Oryctolagus cuniculus: one gene and its partner. Each later gene encodes a partner of the first gene's protein in a complex. Links are inferred from orthologs where the notes say so. Each region holds a gene or a part of one and is shown in the gene's direction. Other genes may lie near its edges.

What was found.
Region 2: the proteins of PDCL3 (region 1) and CCT3 are in contact, whole or in part, in a cryo-EM structure (PDB 8I6J), measured with the Homo sapiens proteins. The link is inferred for Oryctolagus cuniculus from reciprocal best matches to the Homo sapiens genes PDCL3 and CCT3. Residues at the interface, in NP_076970.1 of Homo sapiens: Glu66, Ala70, Met73, Tyr74, Arg75, Arg77, Arg78, Trp82, Leu182, Pro212, Lys213, Ile216, Glu217, Asp218, Val219, Arg226, Leu229, Met230; in NP_005989.3 of Homo sapiens: Met47, Pro53, Met54, Val58, Met59, Thr60, Asn61, Asp62, Ala65, Arg68, Glu69, Arg167, Ile258, Glu261, Phe264, Leu268, Gln269, Glu271, Ser297, Asp298, Leu299, His302, Ser380, Glu382, Ile383, Arg389.

What each region holds. Positions count from the first base shown.
Region 1 is NC_091433.1:108,015,219-108,025,351, reverse strand, and holds the end of PDCL3 (phosducin-like protein 3), read left to right. Parts: intron 1-196; coding exon 197-287; intron 288-594; coding exon 595-738; intron 739-1,736; coding exon 1,737-1,945; intron 1,946-4,904; coding exon 4,905-5,047; 3' UTR 5,048-5,379; downstream 5,380-10,133. UniProt on the Homo sapiens protein: Acts as a chaperone for the angiogenic VEGF receptor KDR/VEGFR2, increasing its abundance by inhibiting its ubiquitination and degradation.
Region 2 is NC_091438.1:42,409,237-42,419,064, forward strand, and holds the end of CCT3 (T-complex protein 1 subunit gamma), read left to right. Parts: intron 1-1,499; coding exon 1,500-1,632; intron 1,633-1,780; coding exon 1,781-1,862; intron 1,863-3,307; coding exon 3,308-3,488; intron 3,489-5,248; coding exon 5,249-5,494; intron 5,495-5,684; coding exon 5,685-5,816; intron 5,817-6,126; coding exon 6,127-6,231; 3' UTR 6,232-6,452; downstream 6,453-9,828. UniProt on the Homo sapiens protein: Component of the chaperonin-containing T-complex (TRiC), a molecular chaperone complex that assists the folding of actin, tubulin and other proteins upon ATP hydrolysis.

The sequences.
Region 1 (10,133 bases):
ACAGGTTTTTCTTTTTAAAACACCCCCCACGTCTTATTCACTAGTGAGATGTAAGTAATCTTTATGTTGGTGAGCTGGGGCCTGCTGGTATTGTGTGCTTACCTTTAGGAGAAAAGCGAAGGGGAATACCCAAAATGCATGTTTGTTCATCTTGAATTTTTGTTTTTTTTGCTTTGGCTGTTGTAACTAAATTCAGTGAAGACGTATGAAGATATGACATTGGAAGAACTGGAAGATAATGAAGACGAATTCAATGAAGAGGATGAACGTGCTATTGAAATGTACAGGTTAGTGCCACTCAGAGGGACCGTTTAGGTTTTTTGCGTGGTAATTTTTACCATACCGTAAAATGTGCATCCATTGTAAATTTACTTTTCTGGGGGCTGGTGTTGTGGCACAGTGGATGGAGCCACACTGCCTGTATTGCCAGCATCCCATATGAGTGGTAGTTAGAGTCCTGGCTGTTCCACTTCTGACTCAACTCCCCTGCTAATGCGCCTGGGAAGGCAGTGGAAGATGGCTATTTGTGTGTGTATTTGTGCATGCGTACATATGTGCATGTGTTAGAAGATATTTTCTCTGTCTGTTGTCCAGGCAGCAAAGACTGGCCGAGTGGAGAGCAACTCAAGAAAAGAATAAATTTGGAGAAGTTTTGGAGATTTCAGGAAAAGATTATGTCCAAGAAGTTACCAAAGCTGGTGAGGGCTTGTGGGTAATCTTGCACCTTTACAAACAAGGGTGAGCTGATCATCTTTTGTGTTCTAGAACATGTGAATTTTAATTTATATGTTGAATCCATATCAAGCTTATTCCATATTCTGGTATTTGTCGTTGTTTATTAGTGTTATGTGTTTTTGTTGCTCATTTACTAAAGCTTTAATGCCTAATTTTTATCTTGACTACCAAATTAATATCTGTGACTCAATGCAATTGTCTCTGTAAAAATATAGCAAAGAAGGGGCTGGCGTTGTGACATAGTGGGTTAAGCCTCCGCCTGCAACACCAGCATCCCAAATGGGTGCCAGTTTGAGACCCGGCTGCTCTGCTTCTGATTCAGCTCCCTGCCAATGCGCCTGGGAGAGCAGCAGAGGATGGCCTGGACGCTTGGACCCCTGCACGCATGTGGGAGACCCAGAAGCAGCACTGGGCCCCTTGCTTCAGCCTGGCCTAGCCCTGGCCGTTGTGACCATTTGGGGAGTGAACCAGAGATGGAAAACCTCTCTCTCTCCATCTTTCCTCCTCTATCCATAACTCTGCCTTTCAAATTAAAAAAAAAAAAAGTATAGTTGAAGAGTCAGTTTGCTTTCACTGAAAAGGAATTCCTGGGACTCCGGCAATTCCAAATTCTATAGTTCATGGTTCCTGCAGACAGAGAAGGTGACCTCCCAGCCATTGTCTGCCGTGTGGTGCTGAGGGCCTCCAGCCTCCCTCCACGCTCAGTCCTGCTCCTAACCTGTAGAGCCCAGTGCTTTTTGTGGCATTTCCTTAAAGCAGGAAATATGTTCTGGCCTGTTTCACACATTCTGCATCTTTGGTGTTCTCTCATTCGACCTTATGGAAGGCCATAGCAGTTGTCTTTTATGCTGACACTGTTTTCCTGAGCTGTTGTTGTATCAAATGAAATTGGACTTTGGGTTTCAAGTTCTTCACTTCACATGGACATATTAGGAAGTGCTGATTGGTCTTGGCCGGTAGTGGAATCACCAGTGCCTCTGCATTCTGTTTGTGTGTTCCAGGATTCCCCTCTGTGCCTTGATAAATCAGCACTTCAGCGCACTTGCCAGGAAGTTTCCTGATGTGAAGTTCATCAAAGCCATTTCAACAACCTGCATACCCAATTATCCAGATAGGAATCTGCCCACGGTATTCGTGTACCTGGAAGGCGAGATCAAGGCTCAGTTTGTTGGCCCACTGGTGTTCGGCGGCATGAACTTGACTCGAGATGGTAAGGGGCGTATGAGGGCCGGGGAGGGGGTTTTTCTGTTACTGAGAGTGCTTGTTTGCTGGCCGGGTGTTGCCATGTGGGCAGCTGTGCATTTGGTCTCCTGTCTTAGCAACTAGTTAGGAGCAGTCACAGCGGGGCTGCAGCAGTTCTCAAAGGAAGACACAGAGAACCTAGCTACATGTTTAACGTTAATGTCAAATATACTTTATTTGGCCCTGCAGCTAAATATTTTTTAAGTGTAGCCCAATATAACATTCATTTTTTGCTCACATCAACGTATTGTTGAAGACACATAGGAGTTCAGTCTAAAAAGTTTGTGGTATGATAAAATTAGAAGATAAATCTATTTTGGTGCAAAAAGATTTTTTGAGACCCTTGTATAGTTTTTCATAATACACATTTTTCATGAATTTTTTGAAGCCCTCATATGTATGTATATTTCTCTGTTGAAATATTTTCTCAGTTGAGTACCTTAGTAGCTTTTCAATTTAAACTTTATTTATTTTTGCCTGTAACTCTGGAAGGATTAAAAAAAATTCCTTCCCATGTGTTACACATGGAGATGGCAAAGTGTTTATCCATGCTTAATGAGAGAACCTGAGGCCAGAGGCAAATTCTCTCTACTCAAGGACTGTGTCCAACCATGCTTGAATAGTCTTCAAAAATATTTTCAACATTTTATATATTACACCACTAAAATAGTTCACTGGGAAAAGTATAAACATGCATCTCATACATGTTTGTTATATGTCATTCCAGTGTTGAAAGGTGTATAGTGTTTCAAATGCATGCTGGCATCTCATTTTGACCTATTTATTTATTTATTTGAAAGAGTTACACAGAGAGAGGAGAGGCAGAGAGAGAGGTCTTCCAACCTAATTTTGACCTTTTTTGAATGTACTGTGCATGGAGATTGGCATGGTAGTCTATTTTCTGTTTCTTTAACAAAGTACCCCAGGCTGAGTGACATCTGAAGGAAAGTCGTGTATCTCACTCAGCTCCCGTTTGGGAGGTGGGGAAGCCCAGGAGAGTGGCACAGGCATGCGCTTGGCTTTTGGGGAGTGCCTTGGGCTGTGTCTGTCATGTCAGAGAAGCAGAGGCCTGTGTGGGACAGAGACCCAGGGACGTGCCAGGCTTGCTTTGTGACAACCTGCTCTCGAGAACAAATCCATTCCTGGGAAAACCAGTTCAGTTTCTCCAGAAGAGTATGTATCTCCTTTAAGGGGCCCGCCTCCCAACCTTGCTACCCTGGCAACCAAATTGCAGCTTTTTTGGCAGGGACAAGCCACATCTAAACCACAGCAATATGCGATCATAGCTGTAGTCTGTTGCCACACAAAGACTGACTTGTGGATTAGTGACCTTGTATGTAACAGTAGTCACATGGGGAGTGAACAGTGTCATTAAATACATACCTGTTCATGTATGGTGGATATATAAATATACATATTCTTTTTTTTTTAATTTATTTGAAAGGCAGAGGTACAGAGAGGCGGAGAGAGAAAGGTCTTCCAACTGCTGGTTCACTCCCCAAATGGCCGCAACAGCCAGAACTGGGCTGATCCAAAACTAGAAGCCAGGAGCTTCTTCCAGGTATCCCACATGGGTACAGGGGTCCAAGGACTTGGGCCATCTTCTGCTTTCCCAGGCCATAGCAAAGACTGGATCAGAAATGGAGCGGCCAAGACTCGAACCGGTACCCATATGGGATGCTGGCACTGCAGGCCGCGGCTTTACCCACTATGCCACAGTGCCAGCCCCAAGATACATATTCTTAAGAAGCAGAAATCTTAAATTTTTCAAAATGAATTTTGTCGAATTTTCAGAATGGTAAACCAAGGTATGTAGAGCTGAAACTACTGATGGTATTTATCTCCATGGAGCACCTTTCCCCACACCACTAATGAGGTACGATTGACCCCCCCCCCCCCAAAAAAAAAAGTGTACATTAAAGCTGTAGAGCACGAGGATCTGAAATGGGAACACCGTGTGAGACCGGCAGCACGGTCCAGCCCGTTGCCACGCCCAGCTCCTCACGCAGTCTCCTTTGCACTTTGGTGAGGACGCTGCAGGTCACCATGCTGGCGCGGTTCAGGTGCACAGTGCATTGCATCGCCATGCTGTGCCTCGCTCTCCAGAACTTGCCCACCTGGCTATCAGAGACTTTGTTACCCCGAGCCCTGGTAGCTGCCGCTCGGTGCTCTGTTTCACGGAGCGCTTTAAAGTCACGCGACTGCAGTAAGGCTGGGTGTGAGGTCTGGTTAGAAGGACCTGGCTGGCAGAGCCTCTCTGCGCTGATCCACCTTCTCCAAGCCGTTGGTTATGGAATCTCTCGGGCAGTCCCTCTGCTCTGCCTGAGATGTTCTCTGCCCGGAGAAATCCGTCCCGTGATTTGGCTACATGCGGTCTCGGGCTGCGTGAGTCTCACGGGTGAGAGGGAGTGAGGAAGCACAGAGGCCGAGTCTCTGATTCCTTACTTTTTTTTTTTTTTTTTTTTTAACTTATTTGACAGGTAGAGTTATAGACAGAGAGAGAGAGACAGAGAGAAAGGTCTTCCTTCCGTTGGTTCACTCCCCAATTGGCCACTACGGCCGCTGCACTGATCCGAAGCCAGGAGCCAGGTGCTTCTTCTTGGTCTCCAATGTGGGTACAGGGGCCCAAGGACTTGGGCCATCTTCTACTGCTTTCCCAGGCCATAGCAGAGAGCTGGATCAGAAGTGGAGCAGCCGGAACTCGAACCAGTGCCCATATGGGATGCCGGCACTGCAGGTGGCAGCTTAACCTGCTACTCCACAGCACTGGTCCCAAGGTGTTACCTTTTTTTTTCGCTTTCTTCTTGGCAAAAACATTAAATTGGTCATCAGATTTTGAGATTATATTTTCTGCTTAGGAAAACCGCAGCTTGATGGACTTAGGGTGAGGGGAGCCTTATGTGATTGGCTTTTTCTCGATCATGTAGAGTTGGAGTGGAAACTGGCCAAGTCCGGGGCGATCAAGACAGACCTGGAGGAGAACCCCAGGAAGCCGATCGAAGACGTGCTGCTGTCCTCGGTGCGGTGCTCTGTCCCCGCCAGGAGGGACAGCGATTCCGAGGGTGACTGAGGCTGCAGCCGCTATCACTTGCCGAACTTCCTGGACGTGACAAACTGTCTGGATGTTTTTTTTAAAAAGCAGGAGTGAATCCTTTTGGTTTTTAACCTTTTATAATTATGTTTCAAATCTTTTACATTTCAGAAATAATCATTGCTGGAATTTTATTAAATTATTGGAACTATCTTTTTAAACTAATACCTACTGTTGGTATGACAAATGTCTGTTTTTCCTCACATATATTTTCAGGAAGTCATAAAGTTATTCACTATGTTTTAACATACAACTAGATATAAAGGAATGTGTGTTTTTTTAATAAAAGTGAATAAATTATACCATGGAAATATTGCACACCGTTTATTTTTTTAAAGATTTATTTCTTTTATTTGAAAGGCAGAGTTACAGAGAGGCAGAGACAGAGAGAGGCAGAGACAGAGAGGTCTTCCATCCTCTGGTTCCCTCCCCAGATGGCTGTAATAGCTGGAGCTGGGCCCATCTGAAGCCAGGAGCTTCTTCCAGGTCTCCCACGTGAGTGCAGGGTCCCAAGGACCTGGGCCATCTTCTACTGCTTTCCCAGGCCATAGCAGAGAGCTGGATCGGAAGTGGAGCAGCCAGAACTCAAACCGGCGCCCACATGGGATGCCGGCACCGCAGGCAGCGGCTTTTTATGCCACAGCGCCAGCCCCTGAAGGATTTCAATCTGCTGCTACATTTCTTTGGTTAAATGTTTCTTCTACTTAATGTTCACCTCAGATTATTGAGATGCCAGCTGACCTTATTATAAAAGGCCGCATTCAATTATATTTTGGAAATAAGCAAGATAGAAGCACACACATAAATAAATTCAATCAGTAAAAAACACAACAGGATTTTTTTTTAAAAACTTACTTAGAGGCTGGCACTGTGGCATAGTGGTAAAGCTGCCATCTGCAGTGCCGGCATCCCATGTGGGTGCTGGTTCGAGTCCTGGCTGTTCCACTTCCAATCCAGCTCTCTGCTATGGCCTGGGAGTGCAGTGGAGGATGGCCCAAGTGCTTGGACCTGCACCCACATGGGAGACCAGGAGGAAGCACCTGGCTCCTGGCTTCGGATCTGCATAGCTCTGGCCGTGGCGGCCATTTGGGGGGGTGAACCAACGGAAGGAAGACCTTTCTCTCTGTCTCTCTCTCTCACTGTCTGTAACTCTACCTGTCAAATAAATAAATAAAAAATCTTTAAAACAAAAACTTACTTATTTGAAAGAGTTACAGAGAAAAGTAGAGACAGAGAGGTCTTCTATCCACTGGTTCACTCCCCAGATGGCCACAATGGCAGGAGCTGAGCCAGGAGCTTCTTCCAGGTCTCCCATGTGGGTGCAGGGGCCCAAGCATTTGGGCCATCCTCCGTTGCTTTCCCAGGCCATCAGCAGGTAGCCGGATCGGAAGTGGAGCAGCCAGGACTCCAGCTGGCGCCCATATGGATGCTGGAGCTGCAAGCTGGGGCTTTAACCCGCTGCACCACAGCGTCGGCCCCCACATCAGGGTGTTTTGTGACCCAAAATGCAGTTAGCATTTATCACTTCTTGTCAAATTGACAAATCCCTTGGTTTGTGTTGAACGATATAGTCTTAGTGCTGGTTTGAGTCGTAAAATTAGGAATCAGCACAGAGTTCTTTCAGGTTATATTGACTTTAATTTTTGCTCTGCTTTACTGAATTACAGTGGCTGTGGCCCATTTTACCAGTAGCTATCAGAAGTGTCTGTCTTAGTGCTATTTCGTTGGATACATCAGAACTGGCTGATGCCAACGTGCAGCGATGGCTCACCACGAAGGGTGTTTCCTGAAATCTTACTTGCAGAGTTGGCACCAGCTGGGTTGGGTCTGTCACACGTGCACCAATTCCGTCAGCTTTTTATAGGAGAGCCGGCTCCCTTCCTAAGTCTTGTGATGCTGGGGAAGAACAAAGCAGGGAAGTTGGATGCTGCACGTTTTGAGAGCCGTGATATGAACACTTAAGTCCCCGGTGTTCACAGTGGTGGGGACCTGCAGGCTTGTTCCACTGGGGGGCCTTGCAGAATCTAATTCTGGATACTCCCAGTGCCACTTTGATCCGAGAGAAAGCTAGGCCTCCTCACCTTGCTTCCACACCAGAATGAGGCCCTTCACTGGACCACACAAAGGCCCCAGTGCCCATGGCCTTGGCTAATGAGTTCTCACCAGCTGCCAGCACCCGGGACCCAGGCAGCTGTTTTACTTACGAAGTGAACTTGATTTAAGGGAAGAAGCATCTCCTAAAATTAGGATTGTGATTTGGAATATGTCTGACTCGCAAGTTCCTACAGTTTCTGGAGACTTCCTTTTTTTCTTTTTTTTTTTTTCCTAAGATTTATTTGGAAGAGGGACAGAGATCTTCAATCTGCTGCTTCACTCCGCAAATGATCGCAACAGCCAGGGCTGGGTCAGGTGGAAACCAGGAGCCAGGGGCTCCTTCTGGGTCTCCCATGTGGGCACAGGGGTCCAAGCACCTGGGCTGTCCTCCACTGCTTTCCCAGGTGCATTAGCAGGGAGCTGGATTGGAAGTGGAGTAGCTGGGACTTGAACAAGCACCCATATGGGATGCGGGTGTTGAAGGTGGCGGCATAACCCACTACACCGCACAGCTGGCCCCAAGACTTCTCTGTGTGTTCTGTTTGCTTCACAGCTTAGTGATCTGACAGGTGATGAGATGTGGCACTGAGCACTGCGTTTTTCTTCCACAGACAAGCAGAAGCTCGTAGATGGGGAAGCAGACAAGAACACCTATGTCCCGGCTTCTAGTTCTCTGGGGTGAAGGTTACAGGAAGTGCTAAGTAGCCCTTCTTTAAGTGATTGGTGAGAAGTGGTTCAGTGGTTTCGGAAAATCGAGAGGAAATACTGGGAGAATTGAAATGGTTAAGACTGTATAATTAAATGCAATGGATTCCAGCCGGCGCCGTGGCTCAATAGGCTAATCCTCCACCTTGCGGCGCCGGCACACCGGGTTCTAGACCCGGTCGGGGCGCCGGATTCTGTCCCGGTTGCCCCTCTTCCAGGCCAGCTCTCTGCTATGGCCAGGGAGTGCAGTGGAGGATGGCCCAGGTGCTTGGGCCCTGCACCCCATGGGAGACCAGGAAAAGCACCTGGATCCTGGCTCCTGCCATCGGATCAGCGCGGTGCGCCGGCTGCAGCGGCGGCCATTGGAGGGTGAACCAACGGCAAAGGAAGACCTTTCTCTCTCTGTCTCTCTCTCTCACTGTCCACTCTGCCTGTCAAAAAAAAAAAAAAAAAAAAAAAAAAAGGCAATGGATTCCGATCTCCTTGTGGAAGAGAAGGTGTGTGTTGATAGGTTGTGAATCTGCTCATTGTAGAAGCTGTGTGCATTGTGGACGCACAGAGGTGATACCCACACCTGCCTCGTCGCCAGCCCCACTTCACATTCTCAGGCCCAGCGTGCAGGTCAGCAGTCACCGCCTTGTTGTGCAGAAGGGCTTCAGGGAAGCTGTCCTGAGGGCCAGCATTGTGGGGTAGCAGGTGAAGCCAATGCCGGTGATGCCAACATCGCCTGTGAGCACCGGTTTGAGTCTTGGCTGCTCCACTTCTGAGCCAGCTCCCTGCTAATGTGCCTGGGAGAGCAGTGGATAATGGGCCAGGTGTAAGTAAACCTTACTTAACCTTAAATGGGCCCAGAGGATGGAAGATCTCTCTGTCTCTCTATGTAACTCTTCAAATACGTTTATAAATCTTTAAAAAGTGAACATTATTTTTAAAAAAGAAAACTTGTGCTAGGTATGAAAGGCTCTTTATGAGAGATATAAAAGTCTATTTTAGTGTTTAGATTTTGTCATTTATTACCTCTGGCTTTAAATTCCACTTTGTTAGCTCACGACCTCTGATTTTGCCAAAGCATTTCTCAACGTGCTGTGACCTTGTTGTCTGCTTTTAAAACGTGTTCCCTCGAAAGCGATTTTGTGCTGCTTACAGAAGCCGCTCACTCAGAACCACATACTTTGGGCAGGTGGCTCTCCACACACCTGATAAACATTCTCACTTCTGCAGCAGGTGGGCCAGTCTCTCCCACGCTGCGGGCTGCCCCTCACTTAGGCCCCTCCCTCCTCAAGTGATCTTGTTGAAAACCTGAGTGTCTGGGGCTGGCACTGTGGCTTAGCAGGTGAAGCTGCCACCTGCAGTGCTTGCATCCCATACTGGCACTGGTTCAAGACCCGGCTGCTCCACTTCTGTTCCCGCTCCCTGCTATGGCCTGGGAAAGCAATGGAGGATGGCCCAAGTCCCTGGGCCCCTGTACCCGCCTGGGAGACCCGGAAGAAGCTCCTGATCCTGCCTTTGGATAGGCACAGCTCTGGCTGTTGCAGCCATCTGGGGTGTGAACCAGAAGATCCAGCTCTCTTGCTCGCTCACTCTCTCCCTCTCCTCTAACGCTGCCTTCCAAATAAATAAATATAAAAAAAAAAAAAAAGGAAAGCTGAGTGGCCACCACTCAGGCAGGGAAGCACTCAGGGTTCTTGGGGGGAATGGGACTATTCTTGGGGGATGGGACCATTCTTAGGGGGTGGGACTATTCTCGGGAGGTGGGGCTATTCTCAGAGGGTGGGACCATTCTTAGGGGGTGGGGCTATTTTCGGGGGTGGGACTATTCCAAACCAGTAATAATGGGGATAGGATAACAGGCATCTGTCAGAACCCATGGGATTCCACAACACAGAAAATCTTACTATCTGAAAAAAATCACGGGGAGGGTCAAGGGATTCCTGGGTGGAACACAGTATGTGGCAGAACAGTTTAAGTGTATCACAGAGGTGTGAATCAGCTCCGCAGACGGGGCTGGGGGAAAAGGTGCTGACGTAAGTAGCCGTGGAGTGAGTGGAGTTTGAGCTGAAGGGCAGAAGGAGCTGATGAAGTTATTTCACCAGGCATAGCTATGGTTTCCGGTCGCAGTGCTACTGTCCGTGTGTACTAGAACTGAACAAATGGGCAGCTGGTGGGGGGAGCCAGGTTTCTCACTGGTAGAGCGAGGGGTTACAGATAAGCAAGGGGAGGAGGCAAGAATGATCTTTGTTTTTAAAGATTTATTTATTTATTTGAA
Region 2 (9,828 bases), on another chromosome or scaffold:
ATTATCTCTGACACTTAAAGCAGTCCTTTCAAATAGTTGGTGCTGACCCCATTTTACAGATGAGGGATCTGAAACTCAGAGAAGTTAGGTTAATCACCTGAGGAACACAACTAGTATTGATAAAAATCAAGATTTGAACGCAGCTGTTTGGCTTCAGTTTACATTATATGAAATTTCTTTTTTTATTATTTATTTATTGAGATTTATTTATTTTAAAGAGTTACAGAGGTAGAGAGAGAGAGGTCTTCCATCTGCTGGTTCACTCCCCAGATGGCTACAATGGCCAGAGCTGGGCTAATCGGGAGCCAGGAGCTTCTTCCAGGTCTCCCACATGGCTGCAGGGGCCAAGGACTTGGGCCATCTTCTACTGCTTTCCCAGGCCATAGCAGAGAATTATATTGGAAATGGAGCAGCCGGGACTTGAACCGGCACCCACATGGGCACTGTAGGCAGCAGCTTCACCTGCTACACCACAGCCCCAGTTATCCCAATTTTCTGATGCATCAGGAGAATATTAGGTTGGAGTTAATTTAGCTTTGAAATATTGAAGGAAGATTTCCAAAGGGCAGAAATTCACAAGACTCTAAAGCAGGGGTGGGTAACGTTTTTTCTGCCAAGGGCTATTTGGATATTTATATCATTTGCAGGCCATACAAAGTTATCAATTTAAAATCAGTCAGCTATAGATATACTGAATTTTGAGTTTCACATACAGTTTTCTTGGCAAGGCCAGACCAAACGATTTCACCAGCCTTATACAACCCACAGTTCTAATGTTCCCTGGCCCTGTTCTAAAGCAAAATCATTGAATTTTATAAACAAGGATTTCAAACAAAAATTTAATTGGGGGAAGAATTAAGACCCAGAATTTCCACACATACTAGCAGGACAGGGCTGATACTGAATTGGGTGGTCAGAGACATTAGGAAGGCCAAACTTGAGGGCCAGCATTGTGGTGTAGCAGGTTAAACCACTGCCTGTGACACCAGTATCCAGTGTGGGCACTGGTGCGAGACCCGGTTGCTTCTCTGCTAATGCGCCTGGGAAAGCAGCAGCAGATGGCACAAGTACTTGAGCCCCTGAACTCATGTGAGAGATCAGGAAGAAGCTTCTGGCTCCTGGCTTCAGCCTGGCCCAGCCTTGACCATTTAGGGAGTGAACCAGCAGATGGAAGATTGATCTCTCACTAACTCTCTGTAAGTCTGCCTTTCAAATAAATTAAATCTTTTTAAAAAAAAAAAAGCTGAACTCACCACTGATGGCTATGTGACTTTGTGTTCTGGTTGCTTTATAATTTAATGCAGGCGCTAAACTGGGTGACAGCTGGAGTGAAAGTGGCTTACAGAGGTGTGAGGTCACAGATCTGCCCTTACTCTGACTCTTACTTCCTGGGGTGTATGGGAGTTGTGGGTGCAGGGAGTGTAGGAGTTGGGGTGACCCTGAAGGGCCTTGTCAGTGCGGGGATTTTTAAATCAGAGGACTCTTACTCAACCAAACAGACTGACATTGAGATCACTCGAGAGGAGGACTTCACCCGGATTCTTCAGATGGAAGAAGAGTACATCCAGCAGCTCTGTGAGGACATTATCCAGCTGAAGCCTGACGTGGTCATCACAGAAAAGGGCATCTCAGGTAGGGCTGCGCCGGGCCCCAGCCTGCCTGGGGGTGGGAGAGGGTGCGTGAACTTCCTTACTCCCCGTGTTGGTTGTGTGGTGGAGCGCTTTAAGGATAAACCCAAGAATTCTGGCATCCAGCTTGACGCCTGCTGTTGGATTTGCAGATCTAGCTCAGCACTACCTCATGCGGGCCAATGTCACAGCCATCCGCAGAGTCCGGAAGACAGACAATAATCGCATCGCTAGGTGAGTAAGCCAGGTAAAAATAAGAGCCTTCCCGTGGGTGGGTTTCTTTTTTTGTGGCTGTATAATGGAGTCATTACCTGAGAAGGTGTAATACAGACTACAATGACAGGGAGAAATAACCTGGATTTAACTGTCTGCCCTCCTCAGAAGTCCTCTAGTCCAGCAATTACCCACTGCATGGGTCTCCTCTGTAATGTGCCTAACCACGAGTGAGCAGCTTGTGCTTAGACATCTGTAATCGCTACCTTGGTATAAGTATCCATTATGTCGCTAAATAGCTACTTGTCAAATAGTCCTTCTCTTCACTGTCACCGTGATGAGTGTGGATGAATTTCCAGAGTAGTCTGTTTTAACTGGCTCAGAATATAGCAGAACCATCCGTTTCTGTGACTAGATCCTCAGCTGCTGTTAATGGGACTCTAGGTTGCATTTGCTACTTCTGTTTATACTCGGATACACCATCCACTTTTAATACTAATCTGTTAAGAAACCGAAAAGTCTGTCCGAACATCGCACAGTGCGTCACAGTCCAAACTGAATTTCATTCTTCTGCTTGCTCTGCAATGACTTTGGGTTCTATGAAGAGTTGATTCCACTTGCACAGGAATTGAGGGGAGAGAGTTACACTTAAAAAATCAGTGTATGAGGCCGGCGCCACGGCTCACTAGGCTAATCCTCCGCCTAGCGGCGCCAGCACACCGGGTTCTAGTCCCAGTCGGGGCGCCGGATTCTGTCCCGGTTGCCCCCCTTCCAGGCCAGCTCTCTGCTGTGGCCAGGGAGTGCAGTGGAGCATGGCCCAAGTGCTTGGGCCCTGCACCCCATGGGAGACCAGGAAAAGCACCTGGCTCCTGGCTCCTGCCATCGGATCAGCGCGGTGCGCCGGCCGCGGCAGCCATTGGAGGGTGAACCAATGGCAAAGGAAGACCTTTCTCTCTGTCTCTCTCTCTCTCTGTCCACTCTGCCTGTCAAAAAAAAAAAAAAAAGTTAAAAAAAAAAATCAGTGTATGTTCATTAAAATTGGGTCAGACTAGGTACTTAATTCACCTTCATTGCGTGACCTTGACCTCTTCTTCGGAACAATCCTGTAACTGACCTCAGGACCCAGCTGGGGAGTGGGATCAGTTCTGTGTAGACATGACCATTGTGTGGTATGTGCATGTTAGATATGCATGAGAACTCATTCTTCCAGATACTCGTATTTGGTTATAGTAGTGATGATTATTAACCTTCGGTATATACATGGTTTTATTTAATAAAGCCTACTCATTTAAGTAAGTTTGCCTTTATATGGTTATAAACCCTTTCTGCTAGGCAGCCAAGACCCCTCAAGTGATGTTTCTGATAATCCAGTTTTGCCCTAATTCCCACATACAGATCCTAGGGACTAGGGAGATGGTTAAAAAGTAGTTCAAGTTGCCTGGTTCCCCCCCCCCCCCCTCCAATAGAGCCTGTGGGGCCCGGATAGTCAGCCGACCAGAGGAATTGAGAGAAGATGATGTTGGAACGGGAGCTGGCCTACTGGAAATCAAGAAGATTGGAGATGAGTATTTTACATTCATCACTGAATGCAAGGACCCTAAGGCCTGCACAATTCTCCTCAGGGGAGCCAGCAAAGAGATTCTCTCGGTGAGTCCACCTAAGAAGTGGGACCAAATGAAGGAGGTCATTGCACTTCTCGAGAGTTTCCCAGAGGGCAGAAAGCACCTGTTGCCCATCTGTAGCTATTTGATTTGTCTCTGTAACCACAAATAACTTCCCTGCTTCCTTTTTTTTTTTTTTTTTTTTTTTTAAGATTTATTTATTTGTAAGGCAAATTACAAAGGGAAAAAAGGAGAGATACCTTCCATCCACTGGGTTCACTCCCCAAATGGCCCCAATGATTGGAACTGGGCCAGACTGAAGCCGGGAGCCAGGAGCTTCATCCAGGTCTCCCACGTGGATGTAGGAACCCAAGCACTTAAGCCGTCTTCCACTGTTAGCAAGGAGCTGGATCGGAAGTGGAGCAGCTAGGACTCGAACCAGCACCCATATGGGATGCCAGCATCTCAGGCGGCAACTTTACCCACTACTACACAACACTGACCCCAGCTCCCCCACTCCTTTTTTTAAAACTAATTTTTAAAAATTTTAATGGTTTAGCCGGCGCCGTGGCTCAATAGGCTAATCCTCCACCTTGCGGCGCCGGCACACCGGGTTCTAGTCCCGGTCGGGGCGCCGGATTCTGTCCCGGTTGCCCCTCTTCCAGGCCAGCTCTCTGCTATGGCCAGGGAATGCAGTGGAGGATGGCCCAGGTGCTTGGGCCCTGCACCCCATGGGAGACCAGGAGAAGCACCTGGATCCTGGCTCCTGCCATCGGATCAGCGCGGTGCGCCGGCTGCAGCGGCGGCCATTGGAGGGTGAACCAACGGCAAGGGAAGACCTTTCTCTCTCTGTCTCTCTCTCTCTCACTGTCCACTCTGCCTGTCAAAAATAAAATAAAATAAAAAATTAAAAAAAAAAAAAAAAAATTTTAATGGTTTAAAACATAAAACTTAAAATTTACAGGCCTTATGGTACGGTGGGCCAGGCTGCAGCTTAGGACACCCATGTCCACCCGTGACCCAGCTCCTGCTGATGTATCCTGGGAAGCAGCAGACAGTGGCTCAAATGCCCGGGCCCCTGCCACCCTTGGAGTTCCAAGCTACTGGCCTAAGCCTGATTGAGTCCTGGCTGTTGGCAGGCAAATGGGGTGGGGGGTGAGGCTGTGAACAAGCAGATGGAAGATCTTGGGCCATCATCCACTGCCTTCCAGACACATTGTCAGGAAGCTGGATTAGAAGCAGAGTAGCCTAGTATTCCAGTACTGAACGAGGCAGCCTAAGTGGTGGCTCGCCCCACTGTGCCATGGTGCTCACCCTGCGTTCACATTCTTGTGCAAGGGATCTCCAGATCCTACATTTACTGAGTACGACTTGCCGTTTGCTCTTCTATGCAACCACTGCCTATTTTTTAAGTAGAAATAATCAATACTGCTTTTTTTCCTCAATTAGGCAAAATAACTTTCCCAAAGACAACATCCCTAATCCATAAGAGAATCTTTCCACTACACCATACAGCCTCCTAAAGGATGCAACTAGGGAGGGACGGAGTGTCATTCTGTGCAGCGTAACAGAGCCCTGACTTCACAGCTGGGATGACACCTCCCGACCCTTGCCCTCTTGGAGTCATGAATTACACATTCTTCCTGGGTAGTTAGCCTCTGCCTTGACCAGTAGGACTTCAAGGACCTTTTCTGGTTACCCTCCTTGGTGATTTGCTAACCTTAGCATCTAGGAAATCTATTGGTGTTTCTATTCCTCTATGAGTCAGCACGCTTTGGCTTCATACTGTCTGTTTATTTCCCCAAGGAAGTAGAGCGCAACCTCCAGGATGCCATGCAGGTGTGCCGCAATGTTCTCCTGGACCCCCAGCTGGTGCCAGGGGGTGGGGCCTCTGAGATGGCTGTGGCCCACGCCTTGACAGAAAAATCCAAGGCCATGACTGGCGTGGAGCAGTGGCCATACAGGGCTGTTGCCCAGGCCCTAGAGGTCATCCCCCGTACCCTGATCCAGAACTGCGGGGCCAGCACCATCCGTCTACTTACCTCTCTTCGGGTGAGTTCCTCTTCATGCTGTTTTGGTGAGGAGGGGAAGGTTCTCTGTTCACCTGTAGTTTGTTCCTTTTCATCTGTGTGTGCTTTCATTGCTGTTTCCATGTCAATCCAGTATTTTTGGTTTAGTTTTTTATCTAATGTTCCTGTTCCCTGCTCACTACTTGAACTCAATCTGCTTGTTTCAACTGCAGGCCAAGCACACCCAGGAGAACTGTGAGACCTGGGGTGTGAATGGTGAGACGGGTACCTTGGTGGACATGAAAGAGCTGGGCATATGGGAGCCCCTGGCTGTGAAGCTGCAGACGTATAAGACAGCAGTGGAAGTAAGGCTCCCGAGGACATGTGCACGCGGTTTATTTTGGGATCACCAGAAACCAGTCTTGAAGGGAGGGGTTACAGAAGGCAGAGTATTCCCCAGAGGTCTCCCAAGGCCTTCCGTTTCCCTACTCAGCTGAAGCACACACAGCAGCACGAGCTGCATTGCTCAGGGGGAGCTGCCTTTTAAAGACTGGGAAGAGGCAGGATTCAGAGAAAATGGAAATTCTTTGGGAGGAGCTGGGTGATACTGTCTGAAAGAGAACATGTCTTTTCCCTTCTCTGCTGACCTCTTGGGGGTGTGGTTTTTTCTCCTAGACGGCAGTTCTGCTGCTACGGATCGATGACATCGTCTCAGGTCACAAAAAGAAGGGCGATGACCAAAGCCGGCAAGGTGGGGCTCCTGACGCTAGCCAGGAGTGAGTGGTGCACAGGACAACCTCAACACAGAGAGCCAGCGGAGGCCCCCTCCTGCGCCAGCGTGCCCAGGACACTGGATGTCTTTGTTCGGAAGGGATCAGGTTGAGGGGCAGCCCCCAGGCCCTTTCTGTCCCAGCTCAGTTTGCAAAAGGCACTGACATGTAATTCTCTATTGTAAGCTTTCCATTTAGTTTGCTTCCGATGATTAAATCTAAGTCATTTGAGATAGTTGTTATGTGTTTTTCAACCTTGGTCGTATCTCTGCCTCCTGACAAAAAGGGAGGAGCCAGAAAAGCACACTGAGGAAGAAGGGAGACTGGAGTGAAGTCATTAAGTCTTCTTGATGGGGTTTTTCACATGTCTCAGTCAATTTGTTGGGAAGATCCTTACGGAATTTAAAGGACGACAGTATAAAGCTTTAGGAGCACCCAAGGAACAGGAGGAACCTGTCTAGATGTAGGGTGTTCCCCAGCTGCGATTGTATGTAGAGCAACACCCCGTGTGTGCCAGGGCTCAGGCTTATGTCCAGAAAGACTTAGAGCATCTCTTTTTGTATTTTGTTGTTTCCACGATCTTCCCGACCTTAACCTGTAGCTCCTTTGCTCTACATTCTCCCAGTGTTCTTCCTAATCTATATTTTAATTTGCTAGCATGTTCTCATGCCAGGATTGTGTAACAGTCAGCTCTGTCTTCCCTGCTAGCTGAAACAAAGCATTTGAATCTCATTTTCTGCTGTTTTTACCAAGGGGACAAAGATGAGCAATGTACTGTGTGGGGCCAGCCTTTAATTTATTCGTAGTCTGTCCTTTGGGCTACTGGGCCTTTGTCCCTATGATTCATACATTCAGTCTTATCTCCTCCCTGGCCACAGGACTTAGTCACTTTAAGTTGAAGACTTGGTAGAATGGTAGGTAGCATGTAACAGGTGTGTTCTGAGTGCTTTGTGTATGTTAAACTAATCCTCACAGCAGCCCTGTAAGATGGATAATGTTTTCCCTGTTTTGTGAGGGGGAATCTGAAACAGTGACTTGTCTGAGGGTCACAGAGCTGGTAACTGGCAAGCCTGGAGATCTAGGCAGATCCTCACTTCTTGCCTTCGGGCTGAGAGCAAATGAAGATCTAAGTAGTGTGGCTCTGGAAGCTATGCTGTCAAACAACCTGAGGTGCAGAGTGGACAGAGGCTTGCAAAAGTACAAATAAGCAAAGATCTTAAAGACATTGCTTGGAAGACCAATAAAGGATGGTGATCTAGAGCAAACCAGCTGTACCCTATGAATGGTTTTTTGTTTGTTTGTTTTGTTTTTGTTTTTTTGAGAATTAACACAGAAAGGTCTTCCCATCTACTGGTTCACTCCCCATATGGCCACAACAGCTGGAGCCCTTAATGTCAGCAATAACCATGGGTGTGCCAGTCTAAAACCAAGGGCCCAGAACTTCATTCAGGTCTCCCATGTGGGTGGCATGGGGATAAACACGTGGGCCATGATCTGCTTCCTTGCAGTATACACACCAGAAGCTGAATCAGAAGCTAGGTAATGGCACTTAAACCAAGCACTGTGACGTGGGATGCAGGTATCCCAAATAGCAACCTAACCACCAACTGCTTTCCCAGGCCATAGCAGAGAGCTGTATTGGAAGTGGAGCAGCCAGGCGCCCATATGGGATGCTGGCACAGCAGGCAGTAGCTTTACCTGCTATGCCACAGCGCCAGCCCCAAATTTCTATTAATAAAACCTGCATTCAGCTATGATTCTTGTTAACTTGTTATCAGGTCCCAGACCTTAGAGTGGGGATGGGGAATATCCTTTGATCTGGTATTGCCATGGCAACTGCAGGATGGACTTGAAATTCTTTAAGGGGCAGTGCAGTGGGTAAAGCCACCACCTGCAGTGCCGGCATCCCATATGGGTGCTGGTTCTAGTCCCGGCCGCTCCTCTTCTGATCCAGCTCTCTGCTATGGCCTGAGATAGCGGTGGAGGATGGCTCTTTTCTAAAAAAAAAAAAAAAAAAAAAATTCAGGCCGGGGCCGCGGCTCTACTGCAGTAGGCTAATCCTCCGCCTTGCGGCGCCGGCACACTGAGTTCTAGTCCCGGTCGGGGCACCGGATTCTGTCCCGGTTGCTCCTCTTCCAGGCCAGCTCTCTGCTGTGGCCCAGGAAGGCAGTGGAAGATGGCCCAAGTCCTTGGGCCCTGCACCAGCATGGGAGACCAGGAGGAAGCACCTGGCTCCTGGCTTCGGATCAGCGGGGTGTGCCAGCCACAGTGGCCATTGAAGGGTGAACCAAGGGTAAAAGGAAGACCTTTCTATCTCTCACTGTCCACTCTGCCTGTCAAAAAAAAATTTTTCAGTGAGAGGACAGTGCAGTGGGTAAAGCCACTGCCTGCAGTGCTGGCATCCTATATGGGTATGGTATAGAACCTATATGGTTCTAGTCCTGGCTGCTCCACTTCCGACTTGAACTCTGCTATGGCCTGGGAAAGCAGTGGAGGAAGACTTGAGTGTTTGGGCCCCTGCACCCACAAGGGAGACCCAGAGGAAGCTCCTGGGTTCAGATTGGCACAGCTCTAGCTGTTGGTGGCCATCTGGGGAGTGAGCCAGTGGATGGAAGATCTCTCTCTGCCTTTTCCTCTTTGTAATTCTGCCTGCCTTTCAGATAAATCTTTAAAAAAAAAAAAAAAAGTCACTACACCCCATATATATGTACAAAAATAAACTACCAATTTATAAAAAAAAATTTGAGGCCAGCACCTCGGCTCACTAGGTTAATCCTCTGCCTGCGGCACCGGCACACCGGGTTCTGTCCTGGTTGCCCCTCTTCCAGGCCAGCTGTCTGCTGTGGCCCGGGAGTGCAGTGGAGGATGGCCCAAGTGCTTGGGCCCTGCACCCCATGGGAGACCAGGAGGAAGCACTTGGCCCCTGGCTTTGGATCGGCGCCACACAGCGGCCATTTTGGGTTGAACCAACAGAAGGAGGACCTTTCTCTGTTTCTCTCACTAACTGCCTGTCAAAAAAAATTATTTTTTAATCTAAAGCAGGCCAACTTTTAGGTTAGTAATTTTGTTACGGCTCACAAATGATGTAAATATCCAAATGGCCCTGGCAGAAGAAAGGTCCCCCAGCCCTGCCCTGGAGCACAGCGGTACTTTTTTGCTCAGTAAAAACTTTGAGGAAACAGTTCATCACAGAGTAGCCATTTGAAAGAAGAGAATCAGATTGGATCCCTGCTTCACTGCAGCCCTAGTGATCTGGGCGGCTGAAAGATTCGAGTGCAAGAAAATGAAAATAAAAGCGTATGAGAAAGAAACACGGGATTTAGAATACACCAGTGTGGGAGGGGAGAATACCTAAAAATTTGCATAGCAAGAATATGGGGGAGGGAGGATGTTTGTAACAATAAAGAACTTGCAAAATTGGCAGTTAAGGAAAAAAGGTTCATTTTTAAAATAGGCTAATGGTAGAAATAGCTCCAGAGAAGCGTAAGTTAGTGACTAACACATGAGACTCTTACCCTTACTCATGGGGAAATAGAATCCCAGCTTGGCGAGTGCCTGGCAGGTGTACATGGAAGTGAGCCCTCCAGAACGGGCTGTGTCAGGTGCA